Anolis sagrei: one gene and its partner. The protein of the gene in region 1 binds, or shares a complex with, the protein of each later gene. Links are inferred from orthologs where the notes say so. Each region holds a gene or a part of one and is shown in the gene's direction. Other genes may lie near its edges.

The links.
Region 2: the proteins of TNNI2 (region 1) and TNNC2 are in contact, whole or in part, in a crystal structure (PDB 1A2X), measured with the Oryctolagus cuniculus proteins. The link is inferred for Anolis sagrei from reciprocal best matches to the Homo sapiens genes TNNI2 and TNNC2. Residues at the interface, in NP_001076252.1 of Oryctolagus cuniculus: Glu5, Asn8, Arg9, Ile11, Thr12, Arg14, Arg15, Gln16, His17, Leu18, Lys19, Ser20, Val21, Met22, Leu23, Ile25, Ala26, Glu29, Leu30, Glu33; in NP_001076114.1 of Oryctolagus cuniculus: Ser13, Glu15, Met16, Ala18, Glu19, Ala22, Lys91, Leu96, Glu98, Cys99, Arg101, Ile102, Phe103, Arg105, Ile119, Phe120, Ala122, Ser123, Glu125, His126, Val127, Glu131, Ser134, Leu135, Asp138, Phe152, Met155, Met156, Val159, Gln160.

The regions. Positions count from the first base shown.
Region 1 is NC_090021.1:244,254,644-244,262,418, forward strand, and holds the start of TNNI2 (troponin I, fast skeletal muscle), read left to right. Parts: upstream 1-4,775; 5' UTR 4,776-4,883; intron 4,884-5,961; 5' UTR 5,962-5,967; coding exon 5,968-6,090; intron 6,091-7,463; coding exon 7,464-7,553; intron 7,554-7,775. UniProt on the Homo sapiens protein: Troponin I is the inhibitory subunit of troponin, the thin filament regulatory complex which confers calcium-sensitivity to striated muscle actomyosin ATPase activity.
Region 2 is NC_090024.1:248,918,907-248,926,328, forward strand, and holds the start of TNNC2 (troponin C, skeletal muscle), read left to right. Parts: upstream 1-4,414; 5' UTR 4,415-4,532; coding exon 4,533-4,535; intron 4,536-5,622; coding exon 5,623-5,674; intron 5,675-7,422. UniProt on the Homo sapiens protein: Troponin is the central regulatory protein of striated muscle contraction. Tn consists of three components: Tn-I which is the inhibitor of actomyosin ATPase, Tn-T which contains the binding site for tropomyosin and Tn-C.

The DNA.
Region 1 (7,775 bases):
GGTTTTGGCTTTTTTACTTTCCTGCCGAATATCAACTAAGTTGCTAAAGTTATATATAATCTTTTTGAACTATTTCATCCGAGCAGCCTGACCAGCTCTGTACTTTTTCTATGGAATTTCATTTTATTCTAACAACACTTTTCTTCTCTTTTCTCTCCTTTTCTTCTTGTGTCTATCTCTTTCTCTCCAACCAGAGAGGAGGTAAGTTCCCCCCCCCCCCTTTTAGCCCTTTTTGAAGTGGGTGGACATAGATAGAATTAAAGATCAATATGGTAACAATATGATGGAGCACCAATCCTGAAATAAAATCTTCCCATTGTGAAGAAGATCTCTCAAGGCTGAAACCATTAACTGGCAACCATAATTTATTTTCTCATCTCCTCATATTTTCCTATAAATTATCTCAAAACCTTTTCTCATTAGCCCACAATTCATGATGAAGATAAAACCTGCATCCCTATCTCTCAGGTCCCTTTCTACACTGCCCTACATCTGAGGATTTGATCCCAAATTGTCTGCTTATCCCAGATTATTTGGCAGTGAAGACTTATATAAACCATTCAAAGCAGATAATTTGAGATCAGATTCTGGGATATAGGGCAGTGTAAATCCAGCCTCAGAAAGTGTTGTTTGTCCAACATCTTCAACACATAGAGCTCACAAACATGAACCACATATCTTTTTGATGTTCAAGCCATTCCTTTAAGCACGCCCTAATACCTGTCATAAAAATATGCATGAAATAAGAGATAGCTCAGTTGAGCAAGCTATGGCTCATGGCTTCTTTCAGTCTTATTACTGAGGCTACCATTGTAATAAGCAATTTAGTATTCCTGTTTGTCCTTCTGTTAGCAGCCTGCTGTTGTGTGCCTTCAAGTAATTTCCAACTTATGGCAAACCTAAGGCAGTCCTATCATAGGGGTTTCTTGACAAGATTTGTTCAGGGGGGCTTTACCTTTCAATTTCTTTGCAGTTTAGAGAATGTGACCTGCTTAAATGGGTTTCCATGACCAAGTGGGGATTCAAATCCATATCTTTGGAACTGGAGTTTAAGGTTCAAATCACTACATGCTAACTTTACCAGCCTAGATGGATATTCCTATAGCTCTTACTAAAGAGCCAATGGGTTAGAATCTCAGGAATGAATTTTACCAGAAGGTTTATTCCTGCATTTTGAAGGTGACAATATTGCCTGCCTAGATCATGTCATTTCATTCTGTAGAAGGGTAATGAAAGCTGAGACAGGCACAGCTGAAACTAACAGCAAACCTCTCCTTCATTTTTCATGAGGTTTAGGAGACTAAAAAATACTTTGTGCGCCTTAAGAAAGTTTTTGGCAGAACAACTGATTGATTGATTTTGCTTTGCTCAAACTTTGTTATGTAATCTAGAATCTATTCAAAGGGACTTAGCACAACCTGGACATGTCCTCCTTCAAGTTGAGTTGTTTCGTTTATTCCATGGCACTGAGCCAGCAACATCACTGATCCTTTATGTTCACTGGGTATGTGACTTTTCTGAGGTTGTCATAGGCTTTAACTCACATCTAGAGAGAGCAATAGTATGAATCAGGTTCAATAATGGTGTGATTCCTTGTCACGCCAGAGATCCATAGGCATGTAAGAACTTCCTACCATAACAGATGTTACTTGGACCCAAACATTGGGGGAATATATATGCTGGAATCCTATTGGTTAGTCTAACTGGACAATAATAATATTGCACTGCCAGTCTTACATGTTGAAGGGAGCATCCCTTGTTTATTTCTTGATATGCTCACTAAATCCTCTTTTTGATCTGATATCTAAGGCAGCTTACCTGAAAAGCAAGTATCATTCTGATCAGTTCAACACTATTAAAGATATCTTATTTAAACTTCTAAACTAAATCAATACACCAGTACCAGAGAATAAACAGACAAAAAGTCTACAGTATTGATTAGTATGCTATTCCTGAAAGGATTTGTAAAGGGAAAAATGTGATTTGGCAGCCTCCTAGCTGACAGGCAATAAAGAGATTTGAATCCTTGGAGAGTTAGTTTCATACTGAAGGGGAAACCACTGAAAAGACACTGCTTTTTATAACCACCTTCTAGGCCACTGAAATTCAGGAAAGTTGAGCCCAACTTGTTGATATGAATATCATAAAATAGTTCTTTATTTTATTTACTCACCACAATCTCCACAGCTAAGTCAGTACTGAATCCCATCCCTATAAATTTGAATTGCACACTAAAAGAGTTATTATCCAGTGAGTTTCTATAAGACTCATTTCCAGACTCATTTCAGAGCATGCATAAGAACATTCATGATAGATTTGACCAAAGCCTATTGCAGTTGAACCAAGTCTTTCCACTGACTTTAGAAGATAATTCTAAAGGCCAAATTGTGATCTGGGGCTGTCCTCATACTGTGGCAACCTTATCAGGTTTCTTAAAACTAGCATGACTTGGACTGGAGGTCCTCCAATGAAAGTACAGCTGGTGGCACATAAATTATTTGGAATGTGAATCACTATTCCCTTTGCACCAAGGCATCACAGACAGAATGCACCATTATCCCAGGGAGCTAATGTGCCGATGTAAAAGATTTGATTACCAACATTTAATGAAAGACCCTGATATCTATATGTAGCTTGCAGGTGGGGGAAATATGGATACATGCAGCACCAGGGTTCAAAATAATTTGTGGAAGATATGTTTTTGTGCCCCACCCCCAATGTCTCCAATATTTTATTCTAGCAGCAAGGAAATAGGAAGTAGACTTCTGTATCACTTCCTCATATAAAAAGGGGCCTCCTTTGGGCCTAAAATGGCTGGGAAGGAAAGTGGCATAGCAAAACTGCAGGGTGTATCTCTCATTGGCGAAGGCCAATGTAACCCTTTGGGCACCATGGTGTGCCGGTTGTTAGCCACCCTGAATCGCTCTGCAGAGTTCGAGATAGGACGGGATACAAATGTCCAAAATAAATAAATAAATTTAATTCCTCAATAGCTGACAACTCCTGATTGATCTGTACATTGAAGTTGTGTCAAAATACCAGAAATTTTCCATACAGTAGATTGAGGGCATGGGGTGGTCCCAAGGCTGTGAGGGATATGGTCCCTTTTTGTTGTTGTTCTTGTTTTGCTTCATTAGAAAGGCATGGTCATGCTCTTAGAGTTTCTGGTTTTGAAAAGTTGTAGGATATGCTCTGAGTATAAGACATACATGCTATGATCCAGCAAGGATAAGCTAAGAGTAGCATTTTCATATTTTTTACCTTGCAGAATATAGGTGGTAGAAAACTGTCAAAACATTCCTTCCCAGGAACGGCTGAGTATGTAACACATAACAGCATTTTTACATCCCAAACACATCACCAAAGAGTGTACTACTAGCACAATCCACATTTCTTCCGCTGTCTCTTGGTTCTTCCATTGCTCCCAAACTGCTTTTTTCCTTATAGTGGAGATTGGCAAATTATGCCCCCCTCCCCCCCCCCCCACTAATGTGCTAGTTATTGTTATCCAGCATCTGGAGGGCCTTAATTGACCAGATTTTGCCAGATGTTGGTGAATTGCTAGGAATAATACCCTAATATTTAGAGAGCCACACTTTGCCACCTTTGCTTAAGGCATACAACGATTGTCTTTTGGGCATTGCTTTTTAGCCTGCATTCTTCTCCCCGATCTCTTGTAAAAATCTGGAACCATGCATTCCTAAACAGGTGATGAAGTCTGATCTGTTAATTATAATTTTGGTCCTTTGCCCATTTGGCTTCAGTCATCAGTCTTTGATTATTATGATTCTAGAATTTTAAGCAGTGTTCTAAATAAATGCTTTATGAGAACCAGCATAATAAAGTGGTTTGAGTGCTGGACCACTTTGAGCACAATCTTTCAGCCTTAGAAGAAAGCAATGGTAAACCCCCGCTGAATAAATCTCACCAAGAAAATCTTCATATAGGATCACCCTAAGTCCACTTGAAGGCATATTACAACAAATTATTTTAATTGGACTGATTGCTGAATGCTTTAAAATGTATTACATATTGTTTTAACTTTCCTGTTTTAACTTATGTCATAAGCCACTTTGGATCTCATATTATTAAAGGAAGGTACCATTTAATTTTGTTGTTGTATACCCCCCGTGATTTCTGATTTGGCAAACCTATCAAGGGATTTTCTTGGCAGAATTTGTGTTATCCTTGCCTTCTTCTGAAGCTGAGACAATGTGATTTGCTCCAGGCCTACCAGGTGTGGTAGACTTCCATGGCCCCCACTTCTAAATGGGGATTCGGACCTTGGTCTCCCAGTGTCCTAGTCTAACACTCAAACCACTGCACCATATTGACTCTGCTATCAATTAATTAAACTCTGATTATTTTATTTCTTTATTGGTTTATTTTGCTAACCAGTTGGGTTCTTCCTCTCTATTATATGTCTCTCTTGGTATAGCATTTCAGGAACTGGATCAGTTGGTAGAATAAGCCAGGCAGTTGTGTTCTCAAAGCCTCTTAACCCTGAGACCTCAAGAGACTGCACTTTGGGCTCTAGGGTTTAGTGAAGCCAGTTCTAATAGCTGATATCCTTATTGTAGCAATGCTGCCTTCTTCTCAAGGACCCTGGGTCTAATCACCACTGTTTGCTCTGAGGAAGGGGGACAAGATCAAAAATAGAATAGGCAGAGAAAGAGGATACAGTTAGAGACCTTCTTCAGCCACAAAGACGATTGTTTTAATTCCATCCCACATTTGCATGGAGGTAGAAGAGGGGATCCTTAGGAAAGGCACATGGTTTATGGAAAGATCACTTCAAACACTGTTTAACCCAATTCTTTCTCATTTTCTTTGTATTTCAGAAAAAGAAAAGGGCAATTACTGCCCGCCGGCAGCATCTCAAGGTAACTACTGATTCTTGTGAGTCATAACAACAGATTTGATTCTCAGCCCAACTGATTTCTTCTTGTTTTGGAGAAGAGATGTGGTTTGTAAGAATAACCCCAAGTTCCCTGACATTCATCTTTCAGACTGTCGGGTAAGAGTGTCCTGTCTTCAACAGCACTGCTTGCCATCTATAGAAAGAAAGAAAGAAAGAACTAGTCTGAATGTTCAAAATTTTGCCCATTTCTATTAGTCATTTATGGGGTGCTCTAAATTTTCTGGGGGTTTCCACCCCATTTTTGAAACCAGGACCATCAGTTCAGGCTGCAGTGTAGAACACAGACCTGGTCTGAATATGTAGGGGTGCCACCTCTCATTTTAATATCATTATAGGTGCTAAGCCTACTATGTATTCACTTACTACCCCAGCATCTTCTCTTCCCAAGAGCTCTTTGCCCAGCTCATGACATTTCTGATATGAGAGATGCTTTCAAAATGAAAGAAAAATTATTGAAGAGAGAAACCACACTGAGGTAAACCAAAAATATGGGAAAGAGTTCCTTACCTTGGCTAAAAGCCAACAACTCTTCTTTCCACATGGATGGACCAGTTAGATGTGGAATGAAATGCAACTTAGCTTGATCTGGAATCCAATAACAATAGTTTTAATTTGGCACACCCATTAACTGGCACTAAGTAGCTGTGACTTGCCCAATGAATACATAGCAGAAACTAATTGTAAATACAGTGTGTATCTACTGCACAGTTCAAACAGTTTCAACACCTCTTTAGCTGTCATGGCTCCATCTTGAGAAATAATTTGGTGAGGTTCTCAGAAATCTCTGCTATGGAGCTCTAGCACTGAGGTTCAGGACCAGAGCTCTCTAGCAGAAAATTCCAAGTATCTCACAAACTACAAACCCCAGGATTCACTAGGGTGAAGAAAGCTAAGATGGTATCAAATTTGTTTAACATTGCAGTGTTGATACAAATATAATCTTACAATTTACCCCAAAAGAACTTCTGGTTTTATCTTGTGCTATTTTACATGCCATGCACACACTCATAATGGTGTTTCTCCCACTTCTGTTCTCATAGAGTGTTATGCTCCAAATTGCTGCTACTGAACTTGAGAAAGAAGCAGTTGCCAAAGAACAAGAAAAAGCTGACTACCTGGCAGAGCACTGCCCACCTCTTCAACTCCCAGGTTCCATGCAGGAACTGCAGGTAATGATTTGATCTGCCCACTCCCTTTTACCATTATAGAATCATAGAGTTGGAAGAGACCTCATGGGCTATCCAGTCCAACCATTCACTGATACACAAAGACAGATAGGGCTGATTCCAATTCCCCTCAGATATTGATCTACCATTTCCATAATTCCTCACCACTGGATCTGATGGGAACTGAAGTCCAACAACATCACCAAGAGACTCACAGGTTCTCCAATCAGGCTTCAATTCTCAAACCTCACTTGGAATTCTGTGGCAGACATCTGGTAGGGTTGCCAGAATTATACTTTGGGCAAAGTTAAGCAGTATATATTACAGTCAATGGGGGAGGTGACTAAATTTGAGCATTATTCACCCAATAGATATCCTGCCCCCAATGAAATTTTCCTTCAGCTCACAAATGCAAATCCAGATGGTAGTTTTGTAAATTGTTTTGCAAGCATATACAAGAGCCTCTCTCTCATTTTGGAGTTGACCAGTGAACAATGGGATATCTTGGGTTTGTGGATTACATGACTGTAGGATACAGTATACAGTACTTATGGCAGTGTGGATTTGTGCTACGGGTATATGTTGTATTTAGAAAGAGGAATCTACCAGGATTTTGCTCTGGGAGGGGAATCGGAATATTGCCCTTCAAAAAAGAATTCTGCTCTTCAAATGATTTTTTTCAGTCCCACCTTTCTAACATTTGAGAGCAAGACATTGTCCATGCCTAATACCCTTGGCAACTTTGGCTTTTCCTTGCAATGTCTAAGCTGTTTTTCCTAGATGATCAACTAAAGTTTTAATGTGCTGCAATGCTGGAAATTTGGGAATGGAAGTTGTGGAGTGAGGGGTGGGGAGAAAATTCTTAATTTCAGGAGGGCAATGCTATCACTTTGCCCCGTCCTAGTTGCTACATCCTTGTGAATGAACTAAATAAAGGTATTCAACAAAAGTCCTATGTTGCTATGCACCAGTAAGACTTGGGCAAAATTCAGGGTGATTGGAGTATCTGTTGTTTAACAAAACTGGATCAAATGCATAATCTTTGGAGATCTACAAAATATATCCTGCCGTAACTTCTGCTATGCTGATCTAGGTGTTTTAGGAGCATGTTATGTAGAGTGTTCAGTAGTCATTTTGTGTTTGCTATCCCCCACTACTCACACCCCAATCTGACTCATTAAGAAAGCTTTCTACTTGGTTTAGGTTTTCAGATTTTAAAGAAATAAACCTTACTGTAAACTCACTATGAAAATGCCTGAAATCACCTGAGTCAACACATATGTTTCCCTGTAGAGGGCTGGAAATGTTGGTAAATGAAATGCAGAATACATGTCTTAAGCAACCTTCTTTTATAGTCTGTACTTGTTGCTCAACAGGAATTCTGCAAAAAGCTGCATGCCAAGGTAGAGGAAGTTGATGAGGAAAGATATGACACAGAGATGAAATTACAGAAAACTACCAAAGAGGTAATGTTTTTTAACTAACACATCCAAATCTGTTTTATTTTAAAAGTTTAAAAAGGAACCCAGGAATCCTTTGAGACTAACTGGGCAATTTCTTCTTTTCAGTTGATTCCAAATGTGCTACTTGACTTTTCTATTGCTTGTTATGCTAATGTAACACACTTATTTCTTTCAATAGTAAGTGTAGGTGTGATTTTGGAATATCATTGTATGTTCGTATGTTTC
Region 2 (7,422 bases), on another chromosome or scaffold:
ATGCCCCTTCTTCGCTTTGGCAAGGGGCTCATTTCAATTATTAATCTATATATATAAATTTCCTACTGGCGTCCAACGGGGAAGCAAAACTCTAAAACCTCTCCACAAAACTCTACCAAAATTGCCATGCCCCAAGGACAACCCACTAGGTACAAACTAATCCACTCTGAAATCAAAACCACACAACAACAACCACAAAAAACGGGAAAGCAACTGAGCATGCGCACTGGCGCAAACTCCCCGACGTGCGCGCACATATGGCCCCTCACTCTCCCCCCCTCGGCGCGGCACACACACATACACCCGCACGCGCGCGCCCCCTCACCCCCCCGGCGCGGCACACACACACACATGCGCGCGCACCCCCTCACCCCCCCGGCGCGGCACACACACACACACGCATGCGCCCTCACCCCCCCCCGCACGGCACATACACACACACGCGCGCCCCCCTCATCCCCCCCGCGTGGCACACACACACACGCGCCCCCCTCACCCCCCCCCCCCCGCGCGGCACACACACACGCCCCCCTCACCCCCCCCCCCGCGCGGCACACACACACACACGCCCCCCTCACCCCCCCCCCCACGCGGCACACACACACACGCGCCCCCCTCACTCCCCCCCCCGCACGGCACACACACACACACGCCCCCCTCACCCCCCCGGCGCGGCACACACACACGCCCCCCTCACCCCCCCCCCCGCACGGCACATACACACACACACACACGCGCCCCCCTCACCCCCCCGGCGCGGCACACACACACGCGCGCGCGCGCCCTCATCCCCCCCCCCCGCGCGGCACCCTTTCTAAACCCATCCCCCCTCCCTTCCTCCCTCTTACCCCTCACGTTACCTCCAAGCCACGCCCCCTTCTAATCTGTCAAGGAAGAAGGGAGAGAAAGAGGGAGGGAAAGAAAGAAGGAAGGAATGAGGTAGAAAAGGAAGAAAGGAGAGAAAGAGGAAGGGAAAGAAAAAGGGGGGGGAGGAAGGAAAGTTAGAGAAGGAAGAAGAGAAGGAAAGAAAAAAGGGAAAGAAGGAAGGAAAGAAGGAGCGAAGGAAGGGGGGAAGATGTAGAGAAAGAGGGAGGGAAAGAAAGGAAGAAAGAGAGAAGGAAGAAAAGAGAGATTGCAGAAGAGAACAAGGAAGAAGGAAGGAAAGAGGGAGCGAAGGGAGGGGGGAAGATGTAGAGAAAGAGGGAGGGAAAGAAAGGAAGAAAGAGAGAAGGAAGAAAAAAGAGACAGCAGAAGAGAAAGAAAAAGGGGGAAGGAAGGAAAGCGATAGAGAAGGAAGGAAGGAGAGAAGGAAAGACGGGAAGGAAGGAAGGAAGGAAACAGGGAGTGAAGGAAGGAGGGAAAGAAGGGGAGATAGGGGGAAGGTTGGCCACAGCAATGTGTGGCGGGTACAGCTAGTATTAAATAAAATTGCTGGAATCGGGCTTCTCTGAAGGCTTGCCAAGGTAGCGTTCCCTCTTTGGTGGGAACTAAGGGTCATCTCCCCTTGGAGTTGACCTCCCACCCTAAAGTCTAGTTTGGCTTCACCAGTGCTGGGCCAGGCCAGGCCAGGTGGGTCCCACCCAACGCAGTGTAGCAGCCTGTGTCATCCCTGCCTTGTGCCCGTCTGCATTGGGAGATGAGTCAGAAGCCAAGCCACTTTTGAGACCCCGGTTCAGAAATGCCTTCTGCTCCAAACTTGAAACGGGCAGGAAGGGAGAAGCAACTGGAGGAACGCAAGCCATGATGCCACAAAGCTGACAAGGAGAGAGAGAGAGAGCCAAACACCTCCACCCATTTCCAGGAACTGCCAGGGGTCATTTCCCCCAAAATCTTCAAGAACAGGCCAACGTCTCCTCAAGTTCCATCATTTGATCCCCACTCCAAAGGCATCAGATCCCGTCTGATCCTGGATGAAAAGCAGGTTCTGCCTGGGTGGGTCTCCTGGGGGTGACCTTTCAGAGGAAGGAAATCACCTCCTTGGATGAAATGCGTGGGGCTGGCACCAACACACACGTGGCCTTGACACCCCAAAACACTGAGTCCTGTCTGGTTTGGGGAGTTAAGCAGTGTCAGCCCTGGTTTGTAATTGGGTGGGAGACCGCCAGGGAATCCCAGGTTCTGTAGACTGCGAGTTGAAGGAAGGGACTGGCCAAGCCACCTCTGGGTCTCCCTCGTCAAGGAAATCCCATTGAAATGCTTGGGGTGCCTATCAGTCAGGAGGGGACTTGAAGGCCCAGACCCACACGATGCCGGACCTTGGTCTCTTTCCTCCAATTTGGATGGCCAGCTCCTGGAGGATGCTGGGAGTGACAATCCCGGAAGCAGCTTCCCCAAGGCCAGGAGGCCTGTCTGTGAATCCCAGGTGCCGTATTTACTTGAGTCTAACACACCATCGACTCTAATGCGCACCTCAATTTCCAAAACCCTGAAACCAAAATAGAGTATTTGCTGACCAACATAATGTTTAGCGGCGAAAGATGCACTCTTTGTAGTTTGGCCCCAAAAGGTGCGCATGAGAGTGGCTGCCTGATTAGGGTTCCTTCGTTAAAAACAGAACGGGAGGGAGCGCCAGACCGTCCAGCAACGGAACTGTCTTGGTTCAATGCCATGGAGTCATCTAATTTGACACGGTTTTGAGCCTTCTTGGCCAAAGAATGCTGATGCCTCACCAAAGTCCACATTCCCAGGTGACGTGGCCATTCAAGTAGAGGCGAGGCCAATCAAAGAGGAGCTCCAGGGGGTCCTGAAGCCATTCTAATATGTCACCACCCTAATTTTGGCAATGCCATTGAGCCAGAAAACAGAAAGCATTAGATTCGAGTAAATAAAACATTGGCGGCAAAAAAAGCCAATGGGATTTTGGCCTGCATCAAGAGGAGCCTAGTGTCTAGATCTAAGGAAGTGATGCTCCCCATGCTCTATTCCGCCTTGGTTAGACCACACCTGGAATATTGTGTCCAATTCTGGGCACCACAATTCAAGAGAGATATTGACTCTAAGCTGGAATGTGTCCAGAGGAGGGCGACTAAAATGATCAAGGGTCTGGAGAACAAGCCCTATGAGGAGCGGCTTAGGGAACTGGGCATGTTTAGCCTGAAGAAGAGAAGGCTGAGAGATGATAGCCATGTATAAATATGTGAGAGGAAGCCACAGCGAGGAGGAGGGAGCAAGCTTCCTTTCTGCTTCCCTGGAGACTAGGATGCAAGGGAACAATGGCTTCAAACTACAAGAGAGGAGATTCCATCTGAACATGAGGAAGAACTTCCTGACTGTGAGAGCCGTTCAGCAGTGGAACTCTCTGCCCCGGAGGGAGTGTGGTGGAGGCTCCTTCTTTGGAAGCTTTTAAGCAGAGGCTGGATGGCCATCTGTCAGGGGTGATTTGGATGCAATATTCCTGCTTCTTGGCAAAATGGGGTTGGACTGGATGATGGCCCAGGAGGTCTCTTCCAACTCTTTGATTCTAGGATTCTATGAAATAGAGGATTTCTCAGACAGGAAAGGGCACCGCGTCCTCTGAAGGTTCCTTGCCCAAGAAAAGCCCCCCTCTAGATCACTCTACGTCCGCAGGCGACTTGGAGGCCCAGAACAAGAATGCCTCTGGCCTTCCTGACCCATTGCTGAGCCCCTCCCATTTCCATCCCACAGGCCCCCTTGCCTCCGCAAATCCGGGCCCTTCCAAAATGGGGCAATGTGTGCCTTGTGGGTGTTAGTGGGGCGCCCATCCCAAGACCTTCTTCCACCTTTCCATGCAGGCTGAAAGGGGGGGTCCTTCCATGGGGGGAGTGTAAAGGCCGGCCTATGTGTATATTGGGATGTTGGGGGGCGGGGAAGGAGACCGGGCGTCTTCTCTCCCCGCATTCTGGGCATGGAGGAAACCGGATCCCGGTGTCAACAAATGAGGCCGGAATATTCGGGATGCAAGGAGGCAGCTGGGGAGGGGGCTCGGCATGGCATGCGAGGGGGGTGGGTGCTCGGCATGCCTTCCCCCCGGGGGCCCTCCCCACGGCAGAGACCTCAGTGCAGGGGCCAAGGGAGCAGACCCCCTCTTCCCCCTCCCCCCAAGGAGGGAGACCACCCAACCCTGCGGCCTCCTTCTCCATATGGGGAGGGTCTATTTTTACCCCTCCGAGGATGGGGCTGCCGTCAGTCCCTTGCCATTCACTCAAGTCAGGCCAAGGGTAGGATTTCGCTCTCCCTGAGGGTCCCACACACACACGCACTCACACACACATATCTGCACAAGACACAGCCAGGAGTGGCTTGGCTAAATTTGGTAAAATGCCTGGCCGGCCAATGAGCAGCCGAGGAGGAAGGCCATTGGCTGACCAAAGAGCCACCTCCCTTGGTGCCCAATGAGGGCAGTGTGGGCGGAGCCGTGCCCAGTTGTCCAGGTATAAAAGGCCGTGCCAGAGCCTCGGACGGAGCGGTTTGCCATCTGACCCGGAGAAGCAGGTGTGGGACCCGTCGTCGTCGTCACCAGTGGCCCTTCTCTCTCTCGCTCTCTCTCAGTGGGGTGCCCTTAGCCTGCCAACATGGTAAGACCACGGGTTAGGGTTAAGGTTGGGGTTTGCATGGTCAAGGAAGTGGTTTGCATGGTCAAGGAAGGGCGGTTGGGGCTGGACATGAGGGCAGAAGATGGCAAGGGACAGGGCAAAGGTTACGGTGAAGCTGAAGGACTCTCTGGTTGAAGCTGTTGGTGGTGGGGTCATTGCAAGGAGTGGAGTGGGGCATTTGGGTCTGGGGGAGGCCGATGGGGCCAAGGAGGGTCTCAGAGTCATCGAAAGGAGCAGAGCCAAGAGTCCCCTTGGCTGGGTCAGATCCTCTCCTTCAGGGTGGACAGCTCCGAACTCTACAGCCGTGTGGGCTGGACGGGTCTGGCTTGGGAGTCCAGCCAAGGACGCAGCAGCAGGGAAAGCGAGCTGCCGGTCACAAGGAGGCTTCATGCTTGCCCACCCACCCACCCGCCCGCCCACCAGAGACGAAGCCCCAAGGAGTAACCCGATCCGAGGCCGACAGGTGTTGCGTGGAGCAGCTGGTGTCCAGCCCTGGCTCCCTACAAGGCCCGAGCCCGGGGGCCACGGCTAAGAATAGCCCGGGATCAAGGAGGAGCGCCCTCCCCCCCATCGCCACAGGCGCCTGAAGATCCAAGTGGACAATGGCATCTGGCCGGAGAGGACGAGGAGGAGGAGGAGGAAGAGGAGCAAGGCCAGGATGGAGCAAAGCAGCCATGAAGCCTCCAGAAAGGCCACCCAATGGAAGCCAAGTTATCCTGGACTTGCCCAAGGGACCGGACAGACCCCACTTTGCAAAGGCTGCCCTGGAATGGGATGCTTTGGGGCATTTTTGAGCCAATGATGTCCACCTTGGCCACATGACTGGCCGGTCACCCTGGTCCACAAGGGCCTGGAGCATCTCTGCAGGGAGATGCCTGGAGGCAGCAGCCTAGTTCTGTGCGGGGAATTCAAGTCCATCTTTCTGGCCAAAGCCAGTGAAGCCCTATAAGAGCCAAGGGATCTTTGGTGGTCCACAGAGAGGGGCCCAATGGGGACAGGGAGGGAGTCTGGCCGTCTGTCGGGAGGGGTCAGGTGTTGCCCTTTCCTGGACTTTGTGCTTGCCTTGCAGACGGACCAGCAGGCGGAGGCCCGGTCCTACCTCAGCGAGGAGATGATTGCTGGTGAGTCAAAAGGTTGGAGATGGGGTGGTGTCTCTGGGGGCAAGGAAGCCTGGCTTGGCCCTGGGTCAGGGGAGAAAGCCCACTCATTGGAGGGCCAGCAGTGACCTGGGTGGGTCAAGCGCTTGACCATTGCCGTGGCCAGAGCAGCTCCCTCACAGGACTCACTCCGCAGCCTGGCTGCCTGCCTTTCTCCCTTGCGGAGCCACAGAGAAAGCAGCTGGACATCCATCCATGAAGCTGACCAATGACAAACAGTCCCAGGGGTGGACAGAGGGTGACACGACACCAGGCCCTGAGAGCATCCCCAGTGCAGAGGGAAAGGTGCCGCAATCCCTTACAAAGAGGCAGCGGAAATCCAACTGGTGTGAGGGCAAAGGCCTTGACGGAGGGAGCAAGGGGTCAGAGGGTCAAGTGCTTGACCCTTGCTAGGGCCCCTTCTGCCTAGCCCTGACCTTCTTGCCCCCAATCCCCAGGAAGGCTTTGGAAGGGAAGGAGCAGGTGGAAGGGGCACCCAAAGGCCACCTAGCCCAGGTGCCTTGAGAAGGGCATTCCTTTCCTGGCAGAAGGGGGTCAGACTAGGTGGCTCCTGGGAGCCCTTCTTGCAAGATAATTCACCATGGCATCCAATGACAAACAGCCCCAGGAATGGAAAGAGGGGGGGGGGAAGAGAGTGACCAGACATCAGGCCCTGAGAGCATCCCCAGTGCAAAGGGGGTCGGAGGGTCAAGTGCTTGACCCTTGCTAGGGCCCCTTCTGCCTAGCCCTGACCTTCTTGCCCTCAATCCCTGGGGAGGCTTTGGAAGGGAAGGAGCAGGTGGAAGGGGCACCCAAAGGCCACCTAGCCCACCTCCCTTCTCAGAGGTGCCTTGAGCAGTGCGTTCCCTTCCTGGCAGAAGGGGGTCAGACTAGATGGCCCCTGGGAGCCCCTTCCAGCAAGACAATTCTGCCGAGAGCCACAGCTCCACCTTGCCATTCCCGTCCATGCCATTTCCCTTCATTATTATGGGTTGTTTTTACTGCCTGCGTTTCCAAGGGGCCTCAGGGAACTCACAGTTGGGGGGGGGGGGATGCCAAAGATAGAAACAGTTAAAGGCAGGTATGGGCCATCTTCGGGCCTCTCTCCATGGGTGTTAAGCAGCTGAGATGGAAAGGAAGGGGCCTGAGGCTGTGGGGAATGATGGGAGTTGGAGTCCAACACCCATGGAGGGAGGGAGGGCCCAAATTGGAGGAGACGCTCAACTTCTCTTGAAGTTGCCCAAAGGCCAGGCGGAAAGACACTATCAGATCCCTCCTGACAGATAGGCATGCATCCATCCATCCTCTGCTTAAAAACCTGTAGCAAAGGGGAGAGAATCCTGGGGTCCTAGAGAAGGAAGGGACCCCAAAGGCCATGCAGTCCCACCCCCTTCAGCCAGGCAGGAAGATGATTCAACCCCTCCCAACAGATTATGACCCAGTAATAACACTTTATTTACATTCTGTGATGAAATGAAAAGGATGTGTAGTTCTAGAAACTATGCCATGCAGACGAACAGTACATAACAAGTGGTTTACTCTTCGTAACTCAGAACAACATATGTACAATCCTGTGGTCAGTTGCATTAATTCACATAATGTCCTGTTATGAGAGATTTAGAAAGGTTTTTCTTTTGTCCACGTAGAGAAACTCCTTCAGCAGCTCGTGAAGCAAAAGCACACTCCAAACTCCGTCTCCCTCTGCTTCTCTACAAGCACCGGCATAGCTCAAG